4 linked regions of the Pelodiscus sinensis genome follow. The main gene of each other region encodes a partner of the protein of the gene in region 3 in a complex. Links are inferred from orthologs where the notes say so. Each region holds a gene or a part of one and is shown on either strand. Other genes may lie near its edges.

What was found. Proteins that work in one complex are often made in the same cells at the same time.
Region 1: DDX39B (region 3) and AKAP17A share a complex: the UniProt entries of both Homo sapiens proteins name them as parts of the spliceosome. The link is inferred for Pelodiscus sinensis from reciprocal best matches to the Homo sapiens genes DDX39B and AKAP17A.
Region 2: DDX39B (region 3) and THOC3 share a complex: the UniProt entries of both Homo sapiens proteins name them as parts of the transcription/export (TREX) complex. The link is inferred for Pelodiscus sinensis from reciprocal best matches to the Homo sapiens genes DDX39B and THOC3.
Region 4: DDX39B (region 3) and ALYREF share a complex: the UniProt entries of both Homo sapiens proteins name them as parts of the transcription/export (TREX) complex. The link is inferred for Pelodiscus sinensis from reciprocal best matches to the Homo sapiens genes DDX39B and ALYREF.

Annotation. Positions count from the first base shown.
Region 1 is NC_134711.1:223,232,555-223,240,207, forward strand, and holds the start of AKAP17A (A-kinase anchor protein 17A), read right to left. Parts: upstream 3,005-7,653; 5' UTR 2,897-3,004; exon of another isoform or gene 2,836-2,896; intron 2,768-2,835; exon of another isoform or gene 2,564-2,767; intron 1,996-2,563; 5' UTR 1,516-1,995; coding exon 754-1,515; intron 1-753. UniProt on the Homo sapiens protein: Splice factor regulating alternative splice site selection for certain mRNA precursors. Mediates regulation of pre-mRNA splicing in a PKA-dependent manner.
Region 2 is NC_134727.1:40,973,557-40,980,406, forward strand, and holds the start of THOC3 (THO complex subunit 3), read right to left. Parts: upstream 3,005-6,850; coding exon 2,783-3,004; intron 2,277-2,782; coding exon 2,120-2,276; intron 1,011-2,119; coding exon 806-1,010; intron 1-805. Other genes in the region: SIMC1 (SUMO-interacting motif-containing protein 1), read left to right, coding at 3,210-3,263, 5,323-5,970. UniProt on the Homo sapiens protein: Component of the THO subcomplex of the TREX complex which is thought to couple mRNA transcription, processing and nuclear export, and which specifically associates with spliced mRNA and not with unspliced pre-mRNA.
Region 3 is NW_027465831.1:175,567-182,767, forward strand, and holds the start of DDX39B (spliceosome RNA helicase DDX39B), read right to left. Parts: upstream 3,003-7,201; 5' UTR 2,869-3,002; intron 1-2,868. UniProt on the Homo sapiens protein: Involved in nuclear export of spliced and unspliced mRNA. Component of the TREX complex which is thought to couple mRNA transcription, processing and nuclear export, and specifically associates with spliced mRNA and not with unspliced pre-mRNA.
Region 4 is NC_134730.1:29,740,952-29,748,366, forward strand, and holds the start of ALYREF (THO complex subunit 4), read right to left. Parts: upstream 3,005-7,415; 5' UTR 2,981-3,004; coding exon 2,750-2,980; intron 2,540-2,749; coding exon 2,408-2,539; intron 1-2,407. Other genes in the region: ANAPC11 (anaphase-promoting complex subunit 11), read left to right, coding at 5,263-5,371, 5,457-5,602. UniProt on the Homo sapiens protein: Functions as an mRNA export adapter; component of the transcription/export (TREX) complex which is thought to couple mRNA transcription, processing and nuclear export, and specifically associates with spliced mRNA and not with unspliced pre-mRNA.

The DNA.
Region 1 (7,653 bases), on a different chromosome or scaffold from region 3:
AAATATATCAGAGGAATACCATTTATATATACTCATTAGCCCACTCGTTTATAAGACGATTCCTCCCCCAAGATGAATAGATAAAAATGGAAAACTGCCATGATCCATTCATAAGACAATCCTATATTTCAGTGGCTGGCACCCTACAGCTCCCAATGTCTGCAATTTGCCATTCCTGGCCAACAAGAGAGGTGGGAAGTAGTGGCCAGTACACCCCTCAGCCCACAATGCTTTCTACAGTTCCCATTTGAGGGGAATGATGAAATGCAGCCATTGGGAGCTGAGGGACTTCAGGCCTGAGGACACTCCAGATGCACCAGGAAATTGTGTTTACCAGCAGCCTTCCTTGATGGGTTAGATAATGAAGTTTGCCATCCTCTAATCAAGAATGTGGAAGATCTAGAGGAGATGGGTTAACATTTACAAAACACAACTTTTAAGAATTTAAATGTGGCATTTAGAACACAGACTTGGTTCACATATTTAGCTCCCACACTGTATTATTCCTAGCCTAAGGGCTACGTCAATATTAAAATTTTATTTTGTGCATATTACCACTCCTTCACTATCACACCTTATATCTGAAATTTCACTATGGATATTGCAAGAGACTATTTTTGTGCTGTCACTTCATCAATCTGACCTGATATCCATATAAAATGAGGGTCTAGATGTTAACATATATGGAAAGGACCTTCAACAGTAGTTTTTCCCCTTTAAGATCTATTACAAAATAATTCCACAGTTCCTCACCTTTATATTGCAAGCCACTGCTTTTCCATCATCACCTTTGTACATCAGTTTCATCCCTCGCAGAGCATTCATGGCCTTGATGAAACCTACATACTCGTGATACTGAACATAAGCTTCAAAATTCAAATGTCCTCCAAAACTGAAAGTATGAAAATTTCTTCCAGTCATTTCTTCTCTATATGGATCCAACATGGGTATGTCCACATTACGTATTTCCCCAAATTTATTAAATACTTTTATAAGGACTTCTTCACTTGGTTTTTCTGAGCCAGAGTCCTTCAGTGCAAACCATTTGCAAGGTAACCCCTCTAAGTGAATGGTGTCTGGTCTCTCGCCTGGCAAAGTTTCATTCATATCTTTTGCATCACGGAAGAAAGAGTCCCAGTCATGTCTAGTAGGAAAGTCAATTTTATATTCTGCAGCACGAACTTTTAAAATGTCAGAGAAGCCACTAAGTTTTATTGTTTTGCCATCAAGGCATGCAAGAAAGGACTTAACCAAACTTTTGTTTTCAACCTCTCCTTCAAAACGAATAAAGTCCATGGTACTTTTGGAAATCCGTAGTGTGGAAAACTGATGCGTTTGCACCATTCCTTTTAGTCTTTCCATCACTTCCCAGTTAGAAATGGATTTTCCTGGTTGCTTCAGCTGAGGAAGGGCCACACTAATAGTCATTTTTGTAATGGGTTTAAGATATAAACCATATGTAGAACAGAGCTCTACTGCTTCGGATGTATCATGAACTATGGTAGCAGCAGCCATAGCACAAAAAAAAAAAAAAGTATAAAAACAGTAAGGAAAATGTATACTAAGTGAACTTATAGGCCACACTAATTGAGGAACATAGTCCCTATCTGTAAATAACTGACCATTTCTGAGACTTAAATATTACCAAGTAAAGCCACTGATTCTTGGCATGAAAGTTAATTAGGAAATTTAACAGCATTGCCATTATAAACTGTTTTCTAAACATCACAATATAGGAATTCAGTTCCAAGACTTAAATATTAGCCACAAGAATAAAGCCCACAGAGAAATTGAAAAGCTGATGATATGAATAATAAATATGGCTTGATATTCAATGACTCAACCGTTAGTTATGCTTCAGGAGGAAGCATTGTGAAACTCATGTTATCACCTAGTACTAGCATGAGCAGAATAATTGAAGTATTAACCAGAAACAGTTATACTGCAACAGTCCAATCTTGAAGAACTCCATATTCTCAAATAGATGACTTTATTCTGGAAAGAAAGAAAAACAAATTTCCATTTAAAGGGAAAAATTAGCCTTATAACTCTTGCTCAGACCTAAATATATTATACATGATGCAACTTGAAGACAGCGAGAGCCCTTTCCTAGAATGGGAAACAGCAACACCAAATAGTATTTGATTTACTCAAAACACATTTGTGAATGTTATCTATAGATGTGCTCTACTTGTAAGATAATTTCACAAATAGATAGATTTGCCAGTGATTCACAAATACAACTCTTATCAGTCATAAAATAAACTGAGAAAATGAGAAATCAATAAATGACCAACAAATTCACCTTCCACATACATTCCCCATAAGAAAGTATTTCCATCTATAAAAAGTGAAATTTGCAGTCAGGCAAAAGAAGAAAAACCGTACGCGTGTTTTACAGCTACTTATTGTGTATATTTAGACACAGGATGTTGGTAATTTGCCTTTTAACCAATACAGAAGCTTTAACTTTTTTTTTCCTACGTCCAGTACATAAACATTGTCTGATCCGGCCCCCTCCCCCATCACCCCCGAATTCTGCACAACAGGGCCAGAAACACACGTTTTAAAAGCTCTAGAAGAACCTTGAGCGGCGTCCTTCCCAGGCGGCACCTGGCGCTTCCTTCCCACCTGATTCCGCTGCCCCCTCCCCCGCCACCCACACCCCGGCCCGGGCAGCTCGGATAGAGCCGAGGGGGGTGAGGAGGGCTGCGAATGTTTACGGGGACAAAGGTCACGGCTACCCCCGGGGAGGGCTCTGCGGCCCCCGCCCCCACCTTCAACAGAGACGGGCCTACTGGAAACCATGGGGGGGGAGGGGCTGGTCTGACTCACCCCGCGACGGTCTGCGACCCCTTCCCCCTCCAGGCCGCCGCCGCTGCCGAATGCGACTGACCCAAAAGAAAACAGAGGAGCGGGCCTCCGCGCCGGCGTCCCACAACCCCCTGCGGGCGAACTTCCGCTTCCGGGTTGGCTCAAGCGGAGGGAAGGTGAGAAACAACGATCCCGGAGCGATGTGGAAGTGGCCAGGCTGGATCGGTCCTCCTACTCTATGGTGCCAGGAAAAAAAAAAAAAGGCAGCCCGGCGCGGAATGCGGGCGCGCGCCCCCTGCGGGTGCGGCTTGGTGTCGCCAGGGCCAGAGGAGCCTCCATGGCCCGGGGGCGGAGCCCGATCCCTGGGGAGGGGGCAGGCGCGCGAGCCTGAGCCTCTCCCCTCCCCCAGCAAGCCCTATTGCAGCGTCCCAGCCAGTGCTCTGGAGGCCCAGAGCAGGGCTCTAGGTCGAGCTGCTTCCCTCAACTAATGTGATGGTGCAATTGCGCTGGCACTTTCACAGAATCACAGAATACTAGGACTGGAAGGGACCTCGAGAGGTCATCGAGTCCAGTCCCCTGCCCCCATGGCAGGACCCAGTACTGTCTAGACCATCCCTGATAGACATTTATCTAACCTACTCTTAAATATCTCCAGAGACGGGGATTCCACAACCTCCCTGGGCAATTTATTCCAGTGTTTAACCACCTTGACATTAACTTTTTCCTAATGTCCGTCCTAAACCTCCCTTGCTGCAGTTTAAACCCCGTTACATAAAACCTTTCCATGTAAAAAAAATGGTGTGGAGAAAAGCTTGAAAAGGCGAGACAAACGCAGTATGTGAGAAACCAAGAAAAAGATCCCACATTTTACTTGTTTTTAAAAAAATCTTGCGATGTTTTTAATACCTGGCTTTGGCAATACTGAGGTTCAGTTGTTGTGGAGGGGACCTTTTTATGGAGAATGGAGAGGCTGAGAAAATTAGTACATTTATTCTAAATAGGGTCGCCAGATGGTTGAAACAAAAATACTGAACACCCTCCCCCCCCCCCCAAAAAAAACAGAGAAAAAATTCTGTTGAAGGAAAAAAAGGGGTGGGGGGGAGACCAAAGTTCTTGAACAAACAAAAAAAAGACTCCGAGACCATTTTGTGCTGGGAGCCTTGCAGAACCAGGTAAACATGGGGGCTGGGATCAGGCGGCTGGGGGTGTTGGGAGCCAGGAGGGCAATCGAGCAGGGGGAAAGCAAATTGCTTCTCAGTTTAAATCTCTGGGGGTATGTCTGCACTACAGCGCTAATTCGAACTAACTTAGTTCGAAATAGTTAATTCGAATTAGTTAATTCGAACTAAGCTAATTCAAATTAGCGCAGCTAGACTTAAAAACTAGTTCGAATTAGCGTTTTGCTAATTCGAACTAGCATGTCCACACAGAGTGTCCACACGTCCGTTAGTTCGAATTAACTTTGTTGTGTAGACATACCCTGTGTTAATCATAGGATCACCGCTAGGGTTACCAGGTAGTCATAAAAAAAAAATACCGAGAAAGGACCGGCCGGGAGGGGAGCAGTGATGGCCGGGAAGAGAGTGGGGGGGGCCGGGAAACAGAGCTAACTGGGGGGGGGCAGCAGAGCTGGCTAGGGAAGATTGGGGGGCCGACGGAAAGCAGGGCTGGTCAGTGGGGGGGGTCGGGCGGAACAGGGCTGGCTGTGGGATATTTGGGGGGGTGGCCAGCGAGGGCAGAACTGACCGGGGGAGCTCAGGAGGAGGGGAGAACTGGCCGCCAGAAGCAGGGCTCTCAGGGAGTGCAGCGGGGCTGGCCGGGGAAAATCCAGAGCAGGAACTGGCCAGCGAGACTCAGAGCTGGCGGAGGGGGCAGGGGAGCAAATCAGCCAGCGTGGAGCAGGACTGACCCGGGCTGTGCAGATCCTAGAGCGCTCCCGTCACACACGAGTCAGTCCGGCTGCGGCTCCACCACACGCTTGACCAGCGCGCAGGAGCATGGACCGGGCTGCCCCTCCTCCTCACATGCAACCAGAGGCTCCCAGTGCCGATCATGCCCCGCCTCCCAGTCACTCCTGCCCCCGCCAGGCTTCTGTCCAGCGTCCAGCCAGAAAACCAGGAAATACCGGACATTGCACATATCCAGTGTTTTCTGGATTTTTTTTACCGGACAGAGGGCCAAAAACCAGACTGTCGGGTAGAAAACCGGACACCTGGCAACCCTAATTCTAAATCATTTACTAGTAATGCTTAATGTGGTAATGCTCACAGGACCCAATAAGGATTAGCACTCCAATGTGCTGAATGCTGTACAAACACGGGAAAAAAATCCTTGCTTTGATGGGCTTAATATCAGTACTACCCATTACATATACTATGTAAATAACTTGAGAGATCACCATGTTTCTAAAATAATCTGACTTTATTACAAGAACTATTTACAGCGGTGCTACAATAGTAGCTAACATTCCAGGCACATGCACACAGACTGGCTTACTGGTGACTCTTTCAAACTCTTCTGTCCTGTATCTGTGGAGTTCTGTGCAGTATGCAATACCAACTCTCACTATTTTATGGCTACTCTTTCCACATATTTAGTGTTCTTCTTAAAGCTGCAGCTCTGGATACAAGTGATGGTGTGAGAATCTCACTTCTCATGTAAACAAAACAAAACAACAAAATAAGTAGTTGCCCTCTGTTGTGGCTTGACTCTTTATAGAACAGTCATCAATATGAAGAAACCACGTGGGTATATTTAGGTCTGGGTGTTTGCTAATTACCATGAATTAGCAAATATAACCCATGGGTTATATATGTTTTTACAAACCATGCGTCCCCTCCCTCCATGGGGTATACATGTCTGCGTCTTATATAAATTGATTTATACTCCAGGAGCATCAGTTCCCCTAAGCGTCTCTGCTCGCCCGCCATGAGAACAGGATTAGCTCTGCTGCAGAGAGGGCCTGACGAGCTTCCAGCGTGTCCGCGCACGCTCTCCATTCTCCCCGCCCGGAGGAGGGTGGGTGACGCCTGGCTGCACGGGGTGGGCCTGGGCATGAGTGTGTCTCCCTCTCGCAGTCCGTCTGGCTCACTGACAGCAGGATGGCTGTCGCCTTGTGTCTGCTGTCTATGCACTGCTGCCCAGGGCTGCTGTAGAAGTCCCTGTGGGTTATAAACATACGCGGGTAATCTGCAAATTTGACAAATGTAATATACGCCATCATGTGCCAGCAATGCCCCTTTGCTATATACATTGGCCAAATTGGACAGTCCCTACGCAAAAGAATAAATGGACAGAAATCAGATATTAGGAATTACAATATACAAAAAACCTGTAGGAGAACACTTCAATCTCCCTGGACTCACAATAGCAGATTTAAAGGTAGCCATCCTGCAGAAAAAAAACTTCAGGACCAGTCTTCAGAGAGAAACTGCTGAGCTGCAGTTCATTTGCAAATTTGACACCATCAGCTCAGGATTAAACAAAGCCTGTGAATGGCTAGCGAATTACAAAAGCAGTTTCTCCTTTCTTGGTGTTCACACCTCCATATCGGCTACTAGAAGTGGGCCTCATCCTCCCTGATTGAATTTACCTCGTTATCTCTAGCCTGATTCTTACCTGCATATTTATACCTGCCTCTGGAAATTTCCACTACATGTATCTGAGAAGTGGGTCTTTGCCCACGAAAGCTTATGCTGCAATACATCTGTTAGACTATAAGGTGCTACAGGACTCCTTGTCACTTTTGCAGATCCAGACTAACACGGCTACCCCTCTGATACTTAAAGTGATATATCACTTAATTACCATATATATAAGCTTTCATGTTTGCAGAGAAAAGTCTGTGAATGTGAACTGATTATACCCTAAAAGGCTCAAAAACCAGAAATCAAAAGATTTTTTAAAACATTTTGTTTATTTACAAGTTATTTTAACCCCAATCCTGTAGTTTTAGGGGTCAGACTCTTGATTTCTGAAAACTTACCATAACCGATACTGCAATCTAAAATCACAAATGTGAAGGAAGTAGTGAAAGGGAATATCACTTCACACACATTGGCTGTGTCTACACTGGGCCACTTATTCCAGGAAAGCAGCCGCTTTTCTGGAATAAGCTGCGAGCTCTCTACACTGGCCGCTTGCTTTTCCGGAAAAGCAATGACGATCTACTGTAAAATTGTCAGTGTTTTTCCGGAAAAACTATGCTGCTCCCGTTCGGGCAAAAGTCCTTTTCTGGAAAAACTGTTCCGGAAAAGGGCCAGTGCAGACAGCACAGTAGTCTTTTTTCTAAAAAAGCCCCGATCGCGAAAATGACGATCGGGGCTTTTTTCCAGAAAAGCGCGTCTACATTGGCCACGGATGCTTTTCCGGAAAAAGTGCTTTTCCGGAAAAGCATACTGCCAATGTAGACGCACTTTTTCCGGAAATACTTATAACGGAAAACTGTTCCGTTTTAAGCATTTCCGGAAAAGGGTGCCAGTGTAGATGTAGCCATGAAGTGAAATGGTAAGCTGAAGAACTGTCATAGCACTGCTAGCTATATGTACTGAAGTTTGTTTATAACTTTAATGGATGCTACTGGTGCTTGAGCTTCTTGAAAAGCATCTTTACTGTCATTAAAAATCTGTACAAATACATAACTTGAGGTTTATTTTGTATATCTCACTTCTTGCCTATTGGTGAACATTCCTACAATTATCTATTTGAAACAGTTGACTTGTAAGATTGTTTCTAAGCTTGCAATTCATTGGGAAAATCATCCTCATCAAGAAGAAATTTAATTTTGCTCCATGTGCACCATAAGGTCTGATTTTGCATTCCCTTGCACCATATGTTACT
Region 2 (6,850 bases), on a different chromosome or scaffold from region 3:
CTGTTTACCTGTCTCTTAGTAAGTGGGCCCCAGAGGAGCACCATGACATCATCTGGAAGGGAGGTCCCAATTATGGGATTGCTCGAGCTTGATGTTATTCAAGACTTTCCTTCCCCTCAACAGCACAGAGGCTGTCGGGGGGGGGGGGGGGGGGGGGGAGGGGAGACTGCTCTACTGTTACCCTGGAAGTCTCTGCAGTGTACCTCCCTCTCTTTTAGCTCCTCCAGTTCAGCCACCCTGGTCTCAAGAGCCCATACTTGGAATCTGAGGGCCATGAGTTGCCCACACCTGGTGCACCTGGCATAGAGGTGCAGGACCCTGAGGTTTTCTGGGGGTAGACCCAGTCCTTGCGCTGGGTCAGAGATGGGTGCAGCCTCATCGCTGAATCTGTGTCGCAGGGGATAACTTCACAGCGATCTCCCACCTCTGTGCACCCGGTGTCCTGTGCTTCCCAGTCTCATGCTGGAGCCGTTACTAGGTACATCTGCCTCGCAAAACTCCCATTTCTTTTAACACCCTGTTCCCCTGAGATAGGCCCACCCCCTAAGGCCCACCCCCAGCAAGGAACCCTAAAGGGTTAGCGATCAAAGGACAGCAGACTAGAGCCCCATTGGGAACCTCTCAGCCTCGTCTACCAGCCAGCTTATGACAGCACACAACCCCCCAACCACACCACACTGTAGCCCTCAGCTATTGCCAAGGCAATCAGTCTACACAAGAGCCATGAGAAGGAAAGACAGCCCGAGGGAGCAGGGCAGGAGATGTAAGAGGGGGGCCCCGCACTAGAGACCATGCCGGTAAGTACCTGAGGATGTTGATGCAGCCGTTTCCGTTGGTGAGGAAGAACATGTTGTTATCATTGTTCCAGGAAATCTCATTCACCTCAAACTTAAACTGCTCCTCAGCCTTGGAGCGATGTGTTTTGGCATCAATGAAGGTGACCACATCATCCTTATTTCCCACAGCAATGGTCTGGCCATCGGGGCTCCAGCAGATATTAATGTTCTCTCCTGGAATGGAAGAGAGTGGGCAGGTCCTCCCGCACCACTAATGGGGGCAAGAGCCATTCATGTGCCATAGACAGACTCTTGTACGTTTAACCCAGGTCTGCCCCACAAACCTTCTGCCTTGAGTGGCAAAATGCACAGACAGCACCTGTGGTACCTTAAAGACTAACAGATATATTTGGGCATTAGCTTTTGTGGGTAAAAACCATACATCTGACAAAGTGCTTTTTACCCCCGAAAGCTTATGCCCAAATATGTCTGTTAATCTTTAAGGCGCCAGAGGACTCCTCCTTGTTTCTGAACAATTTTTTTACATAGTAGTGACTCAGGGGTGTTGGAACAATTTGCAGGGGTGCTGCTAATCCCAGCTGAGTTAGGGAGAGCAGGATTCACCTGCATAGCACCCTAGCACACATTTCCCGCACCTATATACCACCTATATACTGACTGGAATGAATATGTAACGAAACCTTGGAAGAAAAGATGCTTAAAAAATAGAAATGGGAGGACTCAACGTTTTTTTCTAACTTCTAGCTATCCCTTCTCCCTAGAGCCACACACCAGAGAGATTTTGAGACAGTCTAACATCAGTGCACCTCCACCAATACTAGCGCTAATGTAAACAGGTTCAGGTGTTTAACACTGTGTCAGAACATGGCTAATGCTGGGTACACACACAAATTCTCCCTGGAGATAGTGTAATGCAGGGGTTCCCAACCTGGGGAACGAGAAGCTTGTCAAGGAGGTACGGGAGCCAAAAAAGGTTGGGAACCCCTGGTGTAATGTATAGTTATAATTTGCTACTAAGAGCCAGAAAGATGCAATTGCCACACAATCATCATATACAGAGCTTGACAAATGGCAGTGAAAGCTGCTCGCCAGCCCCGCACTGAGCATGCGCATGCCACCGGTAAATGGGGTGTGCAGCTGAAATCTACTCGCCACGGGTGAGTAGATTCTATAGTTTGTCGAGCCCTGATCATATAGAGCTCTCAGGTTTCCTGAATTTACTGGCATCCATGTTGGGAGCAGGATGCATTTGCAAAAGAAGCAGTGTTTGTAGCTGTACTGAGATGTGCGGGTCCCTCTAACCTCCTCACATCAGCACCCACCTTTGGTGTTCACGGTAGCGATGCACTTCGTGGTGCGGACGTCCCAAATACGGATGGTTTTGTCTCCAGAGGCGGTAACAAAGAGGTCGGGGTTACTGGGGTGCCAGCACAGCTGATCCACACTATCCCCGTGGCCACGATAATTGTTCTCCTTCACCTACAGGAAGAGAATTGTTCTCCTTCACCCCCCGCCCCCGCCAGCCTCGAGCCCCTCGCCCTGCCCCACTGAGAAGAGCCTCTGGCCCCCCGGGAGCCGCAGGCTGCTCTCAACCCCCCCCCCCCTGCTCTTCTGTGGACTGAACGATCCCCAACCCCCCAAACACGTCGCGGGCTGCGGGCTCCAGCCCCCCCCCCCAGCCCCTCCCGCCCCGGCCGGAGCCCCCTAGCCCCGCCCCGCCCCCCCAGCCCCTCCCACCCCAGGCCAAGCCCCCAGCCCCGCCCCCTAGCACCTCCCGCCCCGCCCGGAGCCCCGCCCCCTCCCACCACCAGCCCCGCCCCCTAGCACCTCCCACCCCAGGCCAAGCCCCCCAGCCCCGCCCCCTAGCACCTCCCGCCCCGCCCGGAGCCCCGCCCCCTCCCACCACCAGCCCCGCCCCCTAGCACCTCCCGCCCCGCCCGGAGCCCCGCCCCCTCCCACCCCAGCCCCGCCCCGCCCCCTAGCACCTCCCGCCCCGCCCGGAGCCCCGCCCCGGGGGGGCGCACCAGCCGGTCCTTCTCCAGCACGAAGACGCTGGCGGTCTTGTCGAAGGAGCCCGAGGCGAGGCGGCGGCCGCAGCAGCTCCAGGCCACCGAGTGCACCTTGGCGCCGTGCGCCGGGAACTCGCGGCTGCGCGTGTTGGCCCGGAACAGCTCCTGCATGGCCTGCACGTACGGCGAGAGCGCCATGGCAACCGCCGCCCGCGCTTCCGCTTCCGCTTCCGGCGCCAGGGGCGGGACGTCGCCCCTCCCCCCGCGCTGCAGCGCCCCCGCGCGGCCGGCCCGTGCACGGGTCACAGGCCCCGCCTGCAGCCGCGCGCGGACCCCTCGGGCCGCTCCCAGCCGCCTGCCCCCCCGGCCCCCGTGAGCGCCCCCGCGCGGCGCGGGGCGGGGCATGGCCGAGGGCGCCGCGCGCACCCGCCACTCGGGCTCGGAGCGGGGCCACGCGGTGAGTCCCGGCCCCGCCCCCCCGCGCCCCCAGTGCTGCCCCCACCCCCATGTCCCTCTGGGCCCCCCCGCCCCCCCACAGCCCCGTGCCCCCCCGCGCCCCCAGTGCTGCCCCCACCCCCCATGTCCCTCTGGGCTCCCCACTGTTCCCCCTGCACCGCTGGCCCCCCAGTGCTGCCCCCCACAGCTTCGCGCCACCCTGCACCTGCCTGGGCCCCCCTCACACACCCGCACCCCTCTGGGCCCCCCCGCGCCCCCAGTGCTGCCCCCCACAGCTTCGCGCCACCCTGCACCTGCCTGGGCCCCCCAGTGCTGCCCCCCCACACACACCCGAACCCCTCTGGGCCCCCCCGCCCCGGCACCAGACTCCCGCCCCCCCCCCACAGCCCCGTGCCCCCCCGCGCCCGATGCCCCTCTGGGCCCCCCAGTTCTACCCGCACACACCCCCCATGTCCCTCTGGGCCCCCCACTGTTCCCCCTGCACCGCTGGGCCCCCCAGTGCTGCCCCCCATGCAGGGGCAGGTGCCCCTTTTGCGGGGCTCAGGGCAGTCCAATTTCGCGGGGCCCCCCTTTGCCACGGCGCATGCGCGGGGCCCAGGGCAGTCGCCCCTCTCGCCCTGCCCTATATCTGCCCCTGCCCCCATACTCCTCTGGGCCCCCCACTGTTCCCCTGCACCACTGGGCCCCCCCGCTGCCCCTCACACATACCTTGCGCTCCTCTGGGCCCCCCAGCGCTATGCCCCCCCACAACCCCTTGCACCCCTCTTGGCCCCCCGGTGCTGCCTCCCCATGCCCCTCTTGGCCCCCCGGTGCTGCCCCCACACACCGCCCCGTGCTGCTCCCCTGCATCCCCCTCGCTGCCCAACCCCAAAACCAAACTCTCATGCCCCACTGCTTTAGCCCCTGTGCACCACCATCCCTGGCTTCCCGCCGGGCGCCCCCCTGTGTGCACATGCACGCACTCACTATGCCTAACCAGACCTCCATGGGCCAGGCCTGATCCTCAGAGCCAGTCAGCTGGTGTGGCTGGCAGGGGTACCAGCACTTTGGCTGGCTCGGGGGCCAGACATGGCTCAGGTTTGCAGTGGCTGCCAATGCTTATCCTGTTGGCTGAGGCCCTGCGAGTTGAGAGGGGCTGTTCTCAGTCCAGTTCCTCGTGCCCCGGCAGCGGGGTGGAAGTGGGTGGGTACGGCGTGCCGGAGAGAAGTGGCTGCCCCTACCGTCCTGGGCACAGCCCATGAGGGGGTGAGCAAAAGTGGCAGCTGCCCCAGGGCCTGGTGGTTTAAAGGCCCTGGTTTGAAAGGCCGGCTGGGGGAAGCTGACCTCCACCCCTTCCCACTGGGGCCCCGGGAGCTGGGCTCCTGTACCAGCATGCTTTGTAAATTACTTTCACCATGACTAGTTGCCGTATTTCGACCTCTCGGCACTCTGGGTCAGCACTGGCTTGCATAAACCCCTCCGTGATTCTAAGGCTAGAAGGGGGCCGCTGTGCTCGCATCTGAGCAGCAGAACCGAAGGCGGCTCTGAATTTCTGGGCCAAATCCCGAGGCGCTGGCTGCGAAGAGCAGAGCGTTTAGAAAAAACATCTGCTCTTTATTTCAGAACTGCCAGGGCTGGAGAATCCGCCCCAGCCCTTGGTAGGCTGGCCCGGGGCTAATTACCGTCACTCTTCCACATTGGCCTTATTTCTAGTCTAAATTAGTCTAGTTTCTGCTTCTGGCCATTGGATCGTGAGTCCTTGATACATCGAAGCCCCACGTAGCTACACCCAGACTGTGCCCAAGTCTCCCCTTAGCCGTCTCTTTGTCAAGCGAAATAGCTTGAGCTCCGGGGGTCTCTGACATTTGTTCTTGAGTCTTTTAACCCTTCCTGTGACTCTGCCGGGAGCCCGCTCCCATCTTTCAACCCTCTTTCTTCACGGGTGAGCGTGGGGTCCCGGCAGGGCCTTCTGGGTGCTGATGCTGCCCGTGAGGAAGACTTTCATGTGGGCTGTTGAAGCTGAGCTCCGTCCTGGGGCCCCAAGGCTTGGGGGCAGCACTGACGGCTCTCTCTCTCCCCAGGAGGTCATTGATCTGACGGGCGAGGACTTGGCGGTGATTGACCTGACCGAGGGGGAGGGCTCCCCCGAGGTCGGCGCGGAGTGTGCGCTCCCTCCCCACGGCCCCCTGCTCCCCGCCGTAAAGCAGGAAAGCAAAGAGGAGGCCGAGCAAGGCTGCGGGGCCCCCTGGGACAGAGCCCACGCGGAGACAAAGGGCACCCACGGGGGAGGCTGTTTCTCCTCCGACTCCAGCAGCAGCAGCACCACCATTAACAGTGACCTGGGCTCCCTAGCCAGCCTCCAGCTGGACTCCGACGTGTTCTCCTTCTCCTCGGCCAGCAGCTGGAGGGCAGGCTCGGACTGCTCCGTCCCCGAACCTCCCAGTAGCTGCCAGCCAAGGGACGACCCGGACTGCGGGCCCCTGCCCCCGGCTCAGAGACTCTCTCCCGACCGCTCCAGCTGCCCCCCTGCAAGCGGCCGCGGGTCTCCAGAGTGGCCTTTGCTGGAGACTAGTCGCTGGGTGCTGGGTGCAGCGAAGCAGGAACCCCCCGAGCCAGGCAGGCGGAGGCTGGTCCACAAGGCCTGGCTGCATAAGCTGCGCTACTTCAGGAGGATGCCGGTGCACCACTTGTTCCTCCAGGGAGTGGTACAGGACGAGGAAACCCGCCAGGTAAGCACGTGGGGCCCCTGCCTCCCTCCCGGGGCCAGGTGGCGCCTCTCATATGGGGGGGCGATGCTTGGGCTGCGCCCCCGGCCTTTCCCGTCAGCCGGGCTCTGTGGCTCAACATCCCAGCCTGCAGCCAGCGCACTGCAAATTCGGGGGGGGGGTTACCAATGACTTGGGGTTTGGCCACCTCCTCTGCAATGCGCCCGTCCTGGCCTCTGGCTGCCTTGTGCCCGCTCAGTACCGAGCAGCGCCCCAGCAAGGCAGAGCTCGAACAGCGGGTCGCGCCTGGTAAGGTCCCGCGGAGGGCAGGGGACAGCAGGTCTCCGCTTGCGTGCGCCAAGGGGAAAGGTGCGGTCTCTGCGCAGATGAGCCTGTGCCGATCCCCTCTGGGCAGCACTGCGCAGAGCTTACGTCACCAGCCCGAGGAGCTGCTGGGCCGGCCTGTGAGCTCTGCCGTCCTGCTGGGGTTTGGTGCTGGGGAAATGCCCCGTTAGCAAAGGGCCCGGCGAGCCGGGAACCCGGCGGTGTCAGCATGGGCCAGCAACGGTCCATTGAGATGGGCTCCTGTGCTGGAGGCAGGCAAGCCCGCAGGCCAATCCGTGAGTGCCTGCACTGCCCGGGGCCTAGATGCATCTTCTCAGCTCCTAGAGGCGGATGCAGGGCGTTCTTGCTTCCTGGAGAGGGCCGGCCGGGTGACAGCACAGCTGCCTTTGGGTGACTGAGCCATCGCTCAAAGCCCCCCCGCGGGGCATGACACCCCCCAGCTGCACCAGTCGGTAGTCATGGTGCTGCACCTGGGGCTGGGTAGCCGTCCAAGCTAGCCCCACCTGGGTGACCGCAGCACGGCCCCCGGCTGCGTACCCTTCCCTTTCTCCTGCCCCAG
Region 3 (7,201 bases):
CACACCCCCTCGAACTGCCCGTGTACAGCCCAGCCCCACAGAGTGGGGGGGCAGGGCGAGCCCAGGTACAGGGGGGAGGCTGGATCCACCCCCCCCAAATCCCACAGCCGTACTCCGGACGCCACATGTTGAGGGGAGCCCTACCGAACTCCCCCACAGGCTTTGCAAACTGGACCCCATCGCCCCCCACTGGCAGTACTGGGGGGCCCCCAGCCCCACTCGTATCGCCACACTCCTGGGGGCTGTGCCCAGCTGCGGGAGAGAAGTGGGATGCAGGGGGCACGCTCTGACCCCTGCGGGCATGTCAGACCCTGGGGCGCCCCTGCTCCCCAAATCCCTCCCTGAATGCACTACAAAGCAAACCAGGCCTGGGGGCTGCTGCACCCCATAACTCTCCCCCCCCGGCCAAGGACTGAGAGAAGCAGCCTCAGCACCCTGCCCCCCTGCGGGCATGTCAGACCCTGGGGTGCCCCTGCTCCCCAAATCCCTCTCTGCATGCAGCACAAAGCCAGCCAGGCCTGGGGGCTGCTGCACCCCATAACCCTCCCCCCCCCCCAGCCAAGGACTGAGAGGAGCAGCCTCAGCACCCTGCCCCCCTGCGGGCATGTCAGACCCTGGGGCGCCCCTGCTCCCCAAATCCCTCCCTGCGTGCACCACAAAGCCAGCCAGGCCTGGGGGCTGCTGCACCCCATAACCCTCCCCCCCCAGCCAAGGATTGAGAGGAGCAGCCTCAGCACCCTGCCCCCCTGCAGGCATGTCAGACCCTGGGGTGCCCCTGCTCCCCAAATCCCTCCCTGCGTGCACCACAAAGCCAGCCAGGTCTGGGGGCTGCTGCACCCCATAACCCTCCCCCCCCCCCGGCCAAGGACTGAGAGGAGCAGCCTCAGCACCCTGCCCCCCTGCAGGCATGTCAGACCCTGGGGTGCCCCTGCTCCCCAAATCCCTCCCTGCGTGCACCACAAAGCCAGCCAGGCCTGGGGGCTGCTGCACCCCATAACCCTCCCCCCCCCCCCGGCCAAGGATTGAGAGGAGCAGCCTCAGCACCCTGCCCCCCTGCAGGCATGTCAGACCCTGGGGTGCCCCTGCTCCCCAAATCCCTCCCTGCGTGCACCACAAAGCCAGCCAGGCCTGGGGGCTGCTGCACCCCATAACCCTCCCCCCCCCCGGCCAAGGATTGAGAGGAGCAGCCTCAGCACCCTGCCCCCCTGCGGGCATGTCAGACCCTGGGGCGCCCCTGCTCCCCAAATCCCTCCCTGCATGCACCACAAAGCCAGCCAGGCCTGGGGGCTGCTGCACCCCATAACCCTCCCCCCCGGCCAAGGATTGAGGAGCAGCCTCAGCACCCTGCCCCCCTGCAGGCATGTCGGATCCTGGGGTGCCCCTGCTCCCCAAAGCCCTCCCTGCATGCACCACAAAGCCAGCCAGGCCTGGGGGCTGCTGCACCCCATAACCCTCCCCCCCCCCCCCCCGGCCAAGGACTGAGAGGAGCAGCCTCAGCACCCTGCCCCCCTGCGGGCATGTCAGACCCTGGGGCGCCCCTGCTCCCCAAATCCCTCCCTGCGTGCACCACAAAGCAAACCAGGCCTGGGGGCTGCTGCACCCCATAACCCCCCCCCGGCCAAGGATTGAGAAGAGCAGCCTCAGCACCCTGCCCCCCTGCAGGCATGTCGGACCCTGGGGTGCCCCTGCTCCCCAAAGCCCTCCCTGCATGCACCACAAAGCCAGCCAGGTCTGGGGGCTGCTGCACCCCATAACCCTCCCCCCCGCCCCCCGCCCGGCCAAGGACTGAGAGGAGCAGCCTCAGCACCCTGCCCCCCTGCGGGCATGTCAGACCCTGGGGTGCCCCTGCTCCCCAAATCCCTCCCTGCATGCACTACAAAGCCAGCCAGGCCTGGGGGCTGCTGCACCCCATAACACTCCCCCCCCCAGCTAAGGACTGAGAGGAGCAGCCTCAGTACCCTGCCCCCCTGCGGGCATGTCAGACCCTGGGGTGCCCCTGCTCCCCAAATCCCTCCCTGCGTGCACCACAAAGAAACCAGGCCTGGGGGCTGCTGCACCCCATAACCCTCCCCCCCTGCCCAGGACTGAGAGGAGCAGCCTCAGCACCCCGCCCCCCTGCCTAGGTGCAAGGCCAGGAAGAGGCGCCCCCAGGCTGGCCAGGAAGAAACTGGGGTGCTGCCCACAAGCCACAACCACCCGCTTTGCCGGCTGCCGTGGGGCAGGCCCCCAGGTCCTAGGATACAGGCTGCGATGGCGGGGGGGGGGGGGGGGGGGGGGTACTGCTTCCGTGGCCTGCCCCCTGCCAGGGCCCTACTCCCCATACACTGCTACCCAATCCCCTTCACCACCCCCAACCCACCATAGTGCAGGGGCCCTGCCCCCAAACCACTGCAGCACGTCCCACCATGCACGGGGGGTGCACCCCTCCCCCATGTCGGAGGCTCCCCTGTGGGGGGGGCGGCTTGGGCGCCCTATTTTTGTGTGTGTTCGTTTCACGGCCCCACCAATACCCGGCTGGGGGGCGGCGGGGGGGTCCTCCCTCCCGCCCGCGCGGGGTCCCGGGGGCGGGGGCGGCCGGGCGGGGCCGATGTCCGCGGATGGCGGAGCGGCCCGGGGGCTGGAGGGCCGCCGGGCCGGCGCCATCTTGGATTCCTGGCCGGCTAGAGACGCACAATGGGGGAACCCGTCCATCCGGCCCCCCCCGGGGCCCCTTCCGGGCGGATTTTCGGGGCCCGGGGGCGGGAAATGGCGGCCGAGACCGGGCGCGGCGGGGAGGGAATCGCCCGCCCGAGGGGTATCAGGAGCTCCGGGGGGCGGATGGCCCCGCGCGGCGGCGATGCGCGACCGATTCTCGGCGGGGCCGCTCACCTGCTGCAGGGGGGAGGGGCGCCCGAGTCTCCTTCGAGCGGCGGCCGCGGCCAGAACTGAGCGGCGCCTCCACTTCCGGAATGTGGGGGGAGGGGTAGGGGAGCGCGCCTCGGCGAGGACCCCGCGGCCGGATGGGGCTGCCTAACACAGCGCCTGATTGGAAACAAACGAAAAAAAACCCACCCGCACCAAAGGGACCATTGAGGGCGGGGGTTTCTCTGAGGGGGACGGACACGAGCGCACTGGAGTCGGGGCAGAGGGCTCGGCGCGGGGGTGTGTGTCGTTTTTTTTCATCAGGCGATTGACAAGGACACCTCTCCCCCAGCCACCGGCTGGAGCGCGGGAATGCGTTTCCCACGGGGTCCTGCAGGCGGCAGAGGGGCTGGGAGTAGTTTGGTTCAGGCTTCGCTTTGCCTCGCAGGCCTGTGATGACGTCATGGGGCCACGGCTCGAGGCCCCGCCCCTTCTAGCCCCGCCCCGCGATAGCCTACCTCCTTTGGCCACGCCCCCACAGGCCATGACCCCAACACCACATTCTCCCTCTGGTCACGCCCCCACACTCCCACTGGCCACGCCCCCAACACCACATTCTCCCTCTGGCCACGCCCCCACACTCCCACTGGCCACGCCCCCAACACCACATTCTCCCACTGGCCACGCCCCCAACACCACATTCTCCCTCTGGCCACGCCCCCACACTCCCACTGGCCACGCCCCCAACACCACATTCTCCCACTGGCCACGCCCCCAACACCACATTCTCCCTCTGGCCACGCCCCCACACTCCCACTGGCCACGCCCCCAACACCACATTCTCCCTCTGGCCACGCCCCCATACTCCCACTGGCCACGCCCCCAACACCACATTCTCCCTCTGGCCACGCCCCCACACTCCCACTGGCCACGCCCCAACACCACATTCTCCCTCTGGCCACGCCCCCACAGTGCCCTATTCCCCTCCTGCCAGCCCCTGCCACGCCCCCACACTATCACTGGCCACACACCCCACACCACATTCCTCTCTGGCTACGCCCCCACAGTGCCCTATTCCCCTCCTGCCAGCCCCTGCCACGCCCCCACACTATCACTGGCCACACCCCCAACACCACATTCCCCTCTGGCCATGCCCCCACAGTGCCCTATTCCCCTCCTGCCAGCCCCTGCCACGCCCCCACACTATCACCGGCCACACCCCCCACACCACATTCCTCTCTGGCTACGCCCCCACAGTGCCCTATTCCCCTCCTGCCAGCCCCTGCCACGCCCCCACACTATCACCGGCCACACCCCCCACACCACATTCCTCTCTGGCTACGCCCCCACAGTGCCCTATTCCCCTCCTGCCAGCCCCTGCCACGCCCCCACACTATCACTGGCCACACCCCCCACACCACATTCCTCTCTGGCTACGCCCCCACACTATCACTGGCCACACCCCCAACACCACATTCCCCTCTGGCCACGCCCCCACAGTGCCCTATTCCCCTCCTGCCAGCCCCTGCCACGCCCCCACACTATCACTGGCCACACCCCCAACACCACATTCCCCTCTGGCTACGCCCCCACAGTGCCCTATTCCTCAGGCTGCTCTTGGCCCTGCGCTGGAGCTGGCAACAGGAAGGGACAGGACCAGCCGGCAGGGGTCAAGTCTGACAACATAGCCCGTGATCCCTGGCCCCCCAAGGCTCTGGGGCCGGGGGTCGTTCAGCTGCCCAACCACCTAGTGCCCCGGGGCTAGGAAAGCCAGCAGTGCAGTGGGGGCGGGGACTAGCCTCGGGCAGGGGGGCTGAGAGTGAGGGGCAGGGGCCGGTGGCGACGACAGGGCCTGGGTGGTCTCCAGTGAGCAGAAAAGGGGAGGGGTCTCGGGCCCATGGGTAGCAGTTTCAAGACCGGTCCCTCAGCTCTGGCCGACAGTCGAGCGGCATGCAAAATGCACGGATCACCTTTCTCCACGGCCCAGGCGCAGCTGAAGGGACAGGCCCCCGCACCTGCTGAGCACGCCCCGCAGGGACACCCCACATTGGCACTGCTCCACTCCACACTCCAGATCGAAAAAAACACAGATCCATCTGGACCACAGTCCAGAGCCAAAGGCTGGGGCAATACCAGTATGGCCTTAATGGTCATACTGCCTGGGCTACACTGTGGCTTCCCAAAGGCCGGGTCATCTAGCCCTGAATTCTAGAGTCTGTCCGTCCATCTGAGTGTCCATTCAAAAACTCAGAAACAAGAAGACCGCGGACCACCAAATTTGCCAGGCAGCTTCCTCTGGGGGGGGACTTTAATCCCCCTGACATCTGTTGGGAGACCAATACAACTGGACACAGACAATCCAGGAAGTTTTTGGAGAACGTTGGGGATAACTGCTTGGTACGAGTGCTGAAGAAACCGACCAGGGGCCGTGCGCAGCTTGACCTGCTGCTCACAAACTGGGACGAACTACTAGGGGAAGGGGAGGTGGGTGACAACCTGGGAAGCAGTGATCATGAGATGGTAGATTTCAGGATCCTGACCAAAGGAAGAAAGGAGAGTAGTAAAATACACACCCTGGACTTCAGAAATCAAACTTCAACTCCCTCAGAGAACTGAGGGGCAGGATTCCTTGGGATGCTAACATGAAAGGAAAGGAGTCCAGGAGAGCTGGCAGGATTTTAAAGAAGCCTTATTAAAGGCACAGGAAGAAACCATCCCGATGTGCAGTAAGAAAAGCAAATATGGTAGGTGACCAGATCGGAGAGGGGGTTACTGGATGAGGGAGGTGACCTAGTGACAGACGATGTGGGGAAAGCTGAGTCTGCAGAAGAGCAGAGTGAGGGGGGATTTGAAAGCAGCCTGCAACTCCCTGAAGGGAGGTTCCAAAGAGGCTGGCGAGAGGCTGTTCTCAGGGGTGGCAGGAGGCAGAACAAGGAGCAATGGGCTCAAGTTACAGTGGGGGGGTCTAGGTTGGAGATTAAGAAAAACTCTTTCCCTAGGCGGGTGGGGAAGCGCTGCGATGGGTTGCCTGGGAGGGGGGTGGAATCTCCATCCCTAGAGATTTTTAAGTCCCTGCTAGACCAAGCCCTGGCTGGGCTGATTGAGTTGGGCTGGTCCTGCCGTGGGCAGGGGGCTGGACTCGATGACTCCCGAGGTCTCTGCCCGCCCTGGGATTCTAGGATTCTCTTCTCCAAAGCGCAAGCAAGGGCCGGGTTTGCGAGGCCCAGGACAACGGGCCGTGCCGGGAATGGGGCTGTGTTCCAGCACGTGGCAGGGGAGGGGGCTGAGAGAGGAGGGAGGCGATCCTGAGAGTGGCCACTGGGGGGCAGTGAGCGCAGGGGAGAGCTATGGGGAGGGTCATCCCTGAGGGCAGCTGCATCACCGTAGGGGTGGCCAAGCAGGGCCGGGGGCTCGGTGTTCTTGCCTGCCAGCTGGAAAGAGAAGTGTGGCCCCTTCGCAGGAGACAGCCTCTGCCCCCCCCCACCCTGAGAGGAGCCGGGGGGCGGGGAGAGAGCCCCAGATAGCCCCCTTGTCCTGAGCCCTTGCTCATCCCTCCACCCTCATTCTTGCATCACCCTACACCCCCAGACTCCTGCCCTGAGCTCCCCACTCCCCAAGGGCTTGCCCTGGCTCCTGCCCCCCGCCCCCCACTGCCACGTGGCAATAGCAGGTAAGTCTGCTAGGAGGACACAAACCCCACGACCATCAGCGTCCTGACACGAGGCACAGGGATTCACAACGGAGCGGGTGAGCCCAGCTGTGGGCCCAGCGTCTTCGGGGTCACGGCCCCCCCACAGCACAGGAGCAGAGTCGGGGGCTGCCCGGCCAGCCGAGAAACACTCACATCCGTCTCGCAGCGGTTCCCCACCTTCTCAGCATCACGCCTCCGTTTTGATTTTTGAGAGACCCTCACCCCCCCCCCCCCCCCAAAAAAATGCTTGTTGAGCAAAAAAAAGAAAAAGAAAAAAAACCTGGCCAGGCCCAAGCTGTGCGTGTTCTGGCAGACGCCCGAGCCAGGAAGACACGTCCAGTATTTTCTGAATTTTTTTTACTAGAGGGACTAGGCTCTTTGACGGGGTGGGGGGCTGGGTCGCCTTGCGCCCCCCCCCCCCCTTGAATTTCCCCCGTTCGGGAACCTATGATTCTAGTGTGTCGCCCTGTCGAGTCTAGCTTCGCTATGTGGTCAGGCCAGCCGCGGGCGTGGAGCAAACAGCACCAAGAACAGCTCCCTGCTCCGGCGTCCCCGTGAAGATTTTCCAACCGTGAACAGAGGGCGTTTTGACCCGTGCACTAATATTGAGGGCAAGCGCGCGTCCACCAGTTACTAACCAATCTCTGAGAGAGACGTATTTTTAAACCG
Region 4 (7,415 bases), on a different chromosome or scaffold from region 3:
CTGACAGGTGTTTGTCTAACCTGTTCTTAAAAACTTTCAATGATGGAGATTCCACAACCTACCTTGGGTAAGCTGCTCCTGTGCTTAACTTCCCTTACAGTTACAAAATGATTTCTAATGCCTAACCTAAATCTCTCCTGCCGCAATTTAAGTCCATTACTTGTCCTATCCTCAGGGGAGGAGCAGAACACACCACACTCCTTTTTACAACAAACTTTTTACACATTTGAACACTGTTATTATCCTCCACTCCCCTGTCTTCCATTATACAAAACAAAAATTCCAATTTTTTTTCCAAGGGTGGTGCCCAGAACTGGAAACAATACTGCAACTGAGGCTCAGTGCTATGTGGAAAAATTACCTCTCATGTCTTGCTTGCAACACTCCTACTACATCATCCCCAAGTGATGTTTGCTTTTTTTGCAATAGTATTACACCATTGGCTCGTATTTAGTTTGTGATCCACTATAACCCCAAGATTTTTTTCCCCTATTGTAGTCCATCCTAGGTAGTCATTTCCCATTTTTTATTTGTGCAACTGATTATTCACTCCTAAGTGTGATACTTTAGATTGGTCCTTGTTAAAGTTCCTCCTATTTATTTCAGACCATTTCTCTGGTTTGTTGAGACCATTTTGTGTTCTAATCCTGTTTACCGTCAATTACAGCTCCCATTGGCCACAGATCAGCCAATGGGAGCTGCGAAGGTGCACGTGAACAAAGCATCTCACGGCCAGTTAGTCATTTGCCCTTACAAGCCGCGACCCAGTGTCTGAAAACCCCTGCTCTATGCCACTATCCAATTAATTTACGACGATACTGAATAGAACCAGACCCAAAACTGATCCCTGAGGGACTCCATTTCAATCAATTTCCAGCTTGGCCGTGATCCATTCCTAACTATTCTCGAAGTGTGGTTTTCCAACCAATTACGCAACCACCTTTTAGGTCGGTTCATCGAGGCTACAGTTCTAGTTTGCTTATAACAGGTCATGTGAGAAAGTATCAAAAGTCTTATTACAATCGAGATATATCACCCCACTATTCAGCCCTATCCACAAGGCTTATTAATTATTAGGTTGATTTGAAATTTGTTTGACAAATGCATGTTGCTTATTACTTACCACTTTATGATCATCTAGGTGCTCACAAACTGATGGAATACTTGCTTCATTATCTTTCTGGGTTCCCAAATTAAGCAAATTGTTTATTCCCTGGATTGTCCTTATTCTCCTTTTAAGAGTTAGGTGCTATATGTGCCCTTTGCCAGTCCTCCAAGATCTCTCCCATCCTCCCTGAGTTCTCAAAGGTAATCGTTCATGGCTCAGATCTCTTCAGACAGCTCCTTCAGTATTCAAGGATGTATTTCATCAGGACCTGCCAACCTGAAGGCCTCTAACTTGCACAATGTGTTGGAAAAGACCTCTTAAGTCTCCTAAGACCTGGATTGGCACATCTGATAGCACTTTGACAACTAGGACCCAGATTATCATAGGTATTTCTGTTCCTAATTTCCATGAAAGTCAATTGAAAGTTAGTGGCCTACGTTTGAGACTCAGCACCCAGGTGACTAGCGGGAGGCTATTCTTCAAGCCTGTGAGCCTGCACTTTAGTTGTATTAAGCTAACTCAAAATACTTTAGGATATATTTGTCAATGGTCAGTGGTTACTAGCCTAAGAGACTTTCGACATGTCTCAAAGAAGATAAGTAGAGCAAACACAAGGGCTACTACATTTCAGCTGAGAGATCTTAGCTCCTTTACAATATGATGATAGTTACAGATGCTATAGTAGAAGAGTACGTAACCCATATGCTTTTTGCGCTAGTTCCCTAAAAGCATGTCCCCACCTCAGTTGACTAGAGATCTCACAACCCAATACAAGTTTTGCCTAACATAAGAGTTCTGAACTGGAAAAAAAGACAGGTTGGAGGAAGAAAAGTGGATGTGAAAAAGAGACAGTGTATGTGTGTGACAAAAAGCAAGATCTTAACAGTAGAGAGAATTAAACAAAGCAACCCTGTAAAGCATTCTATTAATGCATTTATTGGGATCTGCATGTTTCAGATTTTGGACAAGTTACATTACATTTTCAGATCCAAACATCACAGCTTTCCACACATGCACTTTTGCTCAGCCATTCATTATACAACAAACTAGAGAAAAGCTAAACAACTTTTTTTTGCACTCCAGTCACATCAGATAGTACCAAAAGAGTCAAATCAGAAGTGCTGGCTGCAATAATAATAATAATACAAAGTGAACTGCCTTGGAGATCACAGTATCCATCCATGAGGAAGGGTTCGTAGAGCTCAGAAAACACAGTATTGATGAAAAGAGGCACATGCCAACTACCGCAAAGCGTCACCTCTGGTGCTTTTCCGACGTGGGGGGGGGGCACTTTCTTACCTGGATATCTGCATCCGACACACCGAAGTCCAGATTAGAAACCAGGAGCTTCCCCCCGGTTTCCACGCCAGCCCCAGCCCCGAAGCCGCTATCGAACAGGTCGTGCTGCCACTTCTCGGGGAGCTGCTTTGGCTGAAACAGAACAAATCCCCTCAGCGACCAAGCCCCGCGGCCGGGCCCCCGCCACTGCGCTGGGGCTCGCGGCTCCTCGCCCCCTGCCCGCTGCGGCTGGGCGAGAACAAAGGGCCTCCCGCGGGCCCGGCCCCCAGCCCCGCCGGCCCCCGGGCCGGCCCCGGCCCCCGCGCGCCGCAATCCGGCCCGCGGGCCAGCCCCGCTCCGTACCCGGCTGTAGGGCGCGGGCCGATTCCTGCCGCCTCCCCGGGTCATGACCGGCCTGTTCCGCACGGGGCCGCCTCCTGCTCGGCCCGCGCCGGCGCTGCCCCGGCCGGGCCCGCCTCCGCGGCCGGCGCCCCCGCGCCCCCGGCCCCCGCGGCCGCCCCCGGCGCGAGCGCCCCGCTGGCTGCGGTTCAGCTTGATGATATCGTCCAGCGACATGTCCATCTTGTCGGCCATGATGGCGGCTCCGCTCCGGGGCCTGCACTTCCGGCCGCGCTGCGCCGACGCCGGAAGCGGAAGGGGCGGGCCCGGGCGCCAAGAAGGGCGCAGCCGCCTAACACGCCTCTCCGTTGGGCCGAGGCCGTGACAGCGGGGTGCCGGGGGCGGGACTTCCGGTACGCGGCCCTAGAGATTCCCGCCGGCCCAGCCAGAGAGTGTGAGCGGAGCTGCCGGAGCACGTGCCGGGGGGCGGGGGCCTGGCCCGGACAGATCCGGGGGGGGCTCCCTATTGGAAGGGGGGCTGGACAGATCGGGGGGGCTCCCTAGTGGGGGCTGGGCAGATCGGGGGGGCTCCCTAGTGGGGGCTGGGCAGATCGGGGGGGCTGGACAGATCGGGGGGGCTCCCTAGTGGGGGCTGGGCAGATCGGGGGGGCTCCCTAGTGGGGGCTGGGCAGATCGGGGGGGCTTCCTGGGGGGCAGGGGGAGCAGGAGAAATCTCAGGGGGACTCCCTAGGGCAGGGGGGGCTGGAGAGTTCCGGGAGGGGGCTCCTTAGGGGCGGGAGAAATCTCAGGGGGACTCCCTAGGGTGGGGTGGCTCTGTAGGGGTGGAAGAAATCCTAGGGGTGGGGCAGAGATCTGGGAGCGTTCCCTAGGGGCGGGGGGGGCTCCCGGACTGCAAAGAGAGGGGAGTGGGCAGAACTCTCTCAGGGTGGTGAAGCAGACAGAGATCGTGGAGCCCCATAGAGATCCTGAAGGGGGGGGCTTTGTGCAGTGCGCCCAGCAGCTGTGCAGTGTTGCGTTCCGGGTCGTGTGGCGCTCTCGGGGCTGCGGTGCGTTAGGTGTGTGCCAGTACCTTTCCCGTGGGGAGCAGGGAAGCCGTCCGGCCTCAGCCCTGGTCTGCAGTAATCAAGTGCCGAATGCTAATAGGAGTCGCGATCCATTTTCATTCCATGCCCGGAAACACAAGGGCACCTACGGTTCCTGATGTGCCCAGTGATGAGGCAGGGTCACTAAGCCCAACCTAGAAGATTTCAGATGAGAGGCTCCCTATGGCAGAGTTTCTATAGTAATGACTGAGCTATGGAGGAAGGGACAGTCCCATCTACATCCCACTTTGAACTGCCGCAGGGGAGGAAGCAGTGCTGACAGCCAAAGGAGATTGCATGGCCCCTGGGGATATAAGCTGTTTCAGCAGGGGAACCAACCTATGATTTACTCCTCTTAACACAACTAGGGGGTCACTCAATGAAGTTAATAGGCAGCAGGTTTACAACAAGCCAAAGGAAGTTTTTCTTCACAAAACACACAGGCTATGTCTACACTGGAGGCTTCTTGCGCAAGAATATCTTGCGCAAGGTTTCTTGTACAAGAAGTCTTGCACAAGAACACGTCCACACTGCCATGTGCGCGCTGTGCTTTTGCGCAAGAGCATCCCTGGCAGTGTGGACGCTCTCTTGCGCAAGAAAGCTCTGATGGCCATTTTAAACATAGGGCTTTCTTGCACAAGAAATCCCTGCCAAGTGTCCACGCTGACCTCTTGCGCAAGAGCTCCTGTGCAGAGGGCTTACACCTGTTAAAAAGGAGCGTAGCTCTTGCGCAAGAAGCCCTCTCTTACCACGCTGTACTGTAAATTTCCTTGCGCAAGAGCGGGCGGGCAGTGTGTATGCTCTGTGGATTCTTGCGCAAGAACAGCTACGTCTATGCTGTGCTGTCTTGTGCAAGAAAATATGCAAATGAGGCAAAGCGGTGAACATCGCTGCACCTCATTTGCACACTTAATGAGCCGCCATTTTGCGCAGCTCTTTTTTCAGGAAGAATGGCTTTTGCGCAAAAATGGTGGCTTATTAAGTATGCAAATGAGGCATAGCGATATTCACCGCTTTGCCTCATTTGCATATTTTCTTGCGCAGGATAGACGTAGCCACAGTCAACTCGTGGAACTCCTTGCCAGAGGATGTTGTAAAGACCAAGACTTTTAACAGGGTCAAAAAAGAGCTAGATAAATTCATGGAGGTTAGGGTCCATCAGTGGCTAAGAGACAAGATGGGCAGGGCTGGTGTCCCTGGCCTCTGCCAGAAGCTGGGAATGGGCGACAGGAGGGACCACATGATGATTCCCTGCTCTGTCAATTCCCTCTGGAGCACCTGGCATTGGCTCCTGTCAGTGAAGACAGGATGCTGGATTGGATGGACCCAGTCTGGCCGCTCTGATGTTCTAAAGGGTTAATGATAAAACTCAGTCTGAGTAGCTGCTTCTCATGCCAGGTGCTGACTTGACCCCCGGAGGCAGAAGCCGGCAGGATGAAGGTGAAGATAAAGAGCTGGAATGGGGTAGCCTCTTGGCTCTGGGTGGCCAATGATGAGAACTGTGGCATCTGCCGGATGGCCTTCAATGGCTGCTGCCCAGACTGTGAGTAGCCCAGGCCCTTGGCCCCCGGCCGGATTTCACCCCGGGGCGCCCTTCTCGCTCTCTCATGAGTTTTGTCCTTTTACAGGTAAGGTGCCTGGAGACGACTGCCCACTGGTGTGGGGCCAGTGCTCCCACTGCTTCCACATGCACTGCATTCTCAAGTGGCTGAATTCCCAGCAGGTCCAGCAGCACTGTCCCATGTGCCGGCAGGAGTGGAAGTTCAAGGAGTGACAGCCCCTCCCCCAGCCAGCAGATCTACTTGGATTTCACACGCTATTGCTAACGTGTTTTCTTGGGATTTAGTCTCCTCTCTCCAGACCCTGGAACAGTGAATTATTTATACAGCTTCTTGCATTTCCCTATCCCTTCCAGAGGAACCTTGCCCACAGACTGTTATGACTCACCATAGGCAAGAGGGAAGCCTGGGGCAGAGGGAGCATCTGAGTGGTGCATATTAACCTTTCCCGCAGAGATGCCGGTTCAACACGCTGTCACAGCTTTCAGCATTAATTGTTTCATCCTGATCTGAGACTGAGCATCCCACATGAGTTCATACACTTGAGTCTACGCAGCATGTGTGTGTGTGTCAGTAAAAAGCCCCTTTTGCCATGCAGACATGGATCTGTGGTTTGGGTGCCTTATTTAAAACACCCTGGACCTGATTGTTAAGACACGGCTTGTCCTTTGCAACTCCACGCCATGTCAGTAGGGTCAGTGTCTGACCCTTTGAGAAGCTGCTTCCTAAACTAAAGGGGACCTCCCTGTTTAAATAATACCTCTCCCAGCTCTTGCATCAGGGGTACCTTCCCATCCGTGTTCTCTGAAAAGGCCTCTCAGTCCTGGCTTGCCCTGCCCCCCTCACATCCTGAGACATCACCACTATTGCATGCTGCAGAGTCGGTATTGGCATTGCCTGTCAAGTGGGGAGAGATGGTCCTGCAAGTTGAAATGGGCTTCTTAGGGCCGTGTGCAGCTCTCTATCCATGATCTCAGCTGCTTATGCCTTTGCAGCCATTCCCCGTGCACCGCAGGCAGGCTGGGCCCTGAGCTGATACCTTCACATGCAGCAGTACAGAAACGAAGGTTGTTGTGAGACCCGTGGGATACAGGGCCTGCTCCCACCAGAGACCTAGCCGCTGGTCCGTTGTGCTGTGCAGCGCCAGAATCATGCCAGTTCTTTGAACCCTCGTGGCTTTGGGACGAGGCCCCTTGCCAATAGTGTGTCACTTACCGGCTGTAGTGTGGCAATCCCTGGACTGGTGTCAATAAACTCATGGCTGTGATTAATTTCTCTTCGTGCTTTTTGCTTTTGAGCCAAGCGAGGATACCCACAAGCAGGCCATGGACAGCAGAGTAGGATTGTTCCCATGCCGTCGTCAAAGACGTTCCCTAGATGTGCCACCAGGTGGTAGAATGCGGCCTCTGGTTTTGCCTTAGCCATTCTGGGTGGCGGGGCCCTGCGCTAGCTTGGCACGTTGCTTGCATCCTACAGACCAGCTGTGCTTGATGCTTCATCCTTGGCACAATCCCTCCCTGGTGTGTCAGTCCTCTACCGTGTGGGCCACCCCTCTGCGGAACGCGTAGGGGGGGCCTCCTGGTGTGCAACATGGCACATGATAGACACATAGAACCATAGAGCTGGAAGAGACCTCAGAAGGTCATCAAGTCCAGACCCCTGCTCTAGGCAGGACCAATCCCCGCTAAATCAACCCAGCCAGGGCTTTGTCAAGCCGAGACTTAAAACGCCTTGGCTGTGTCTAGACTGCATCCCTTTTCCGTAAAAGGGATGCAAATTAGACACATCGCAATTGCAAATGAAGTGGGGATTTAAATCCCCCCCCCCCCCCCGCTTCATTTGCGTAAACATGGCTGCCGCTTTTTTCCGGCTCGGGGCTTTGCCAGAAAAAAGCACCAGTCTAGACGCGGATCTTTCGGAAAATAAAGCCTTTTCCGAAAGATCCCTTATTCCTTATTTTAAGAGGAATAAGGGATCTTTCGGAAAAGGCTTTATTTTCCGAAAGATCCCCGTCTAGACTGGCGCTTT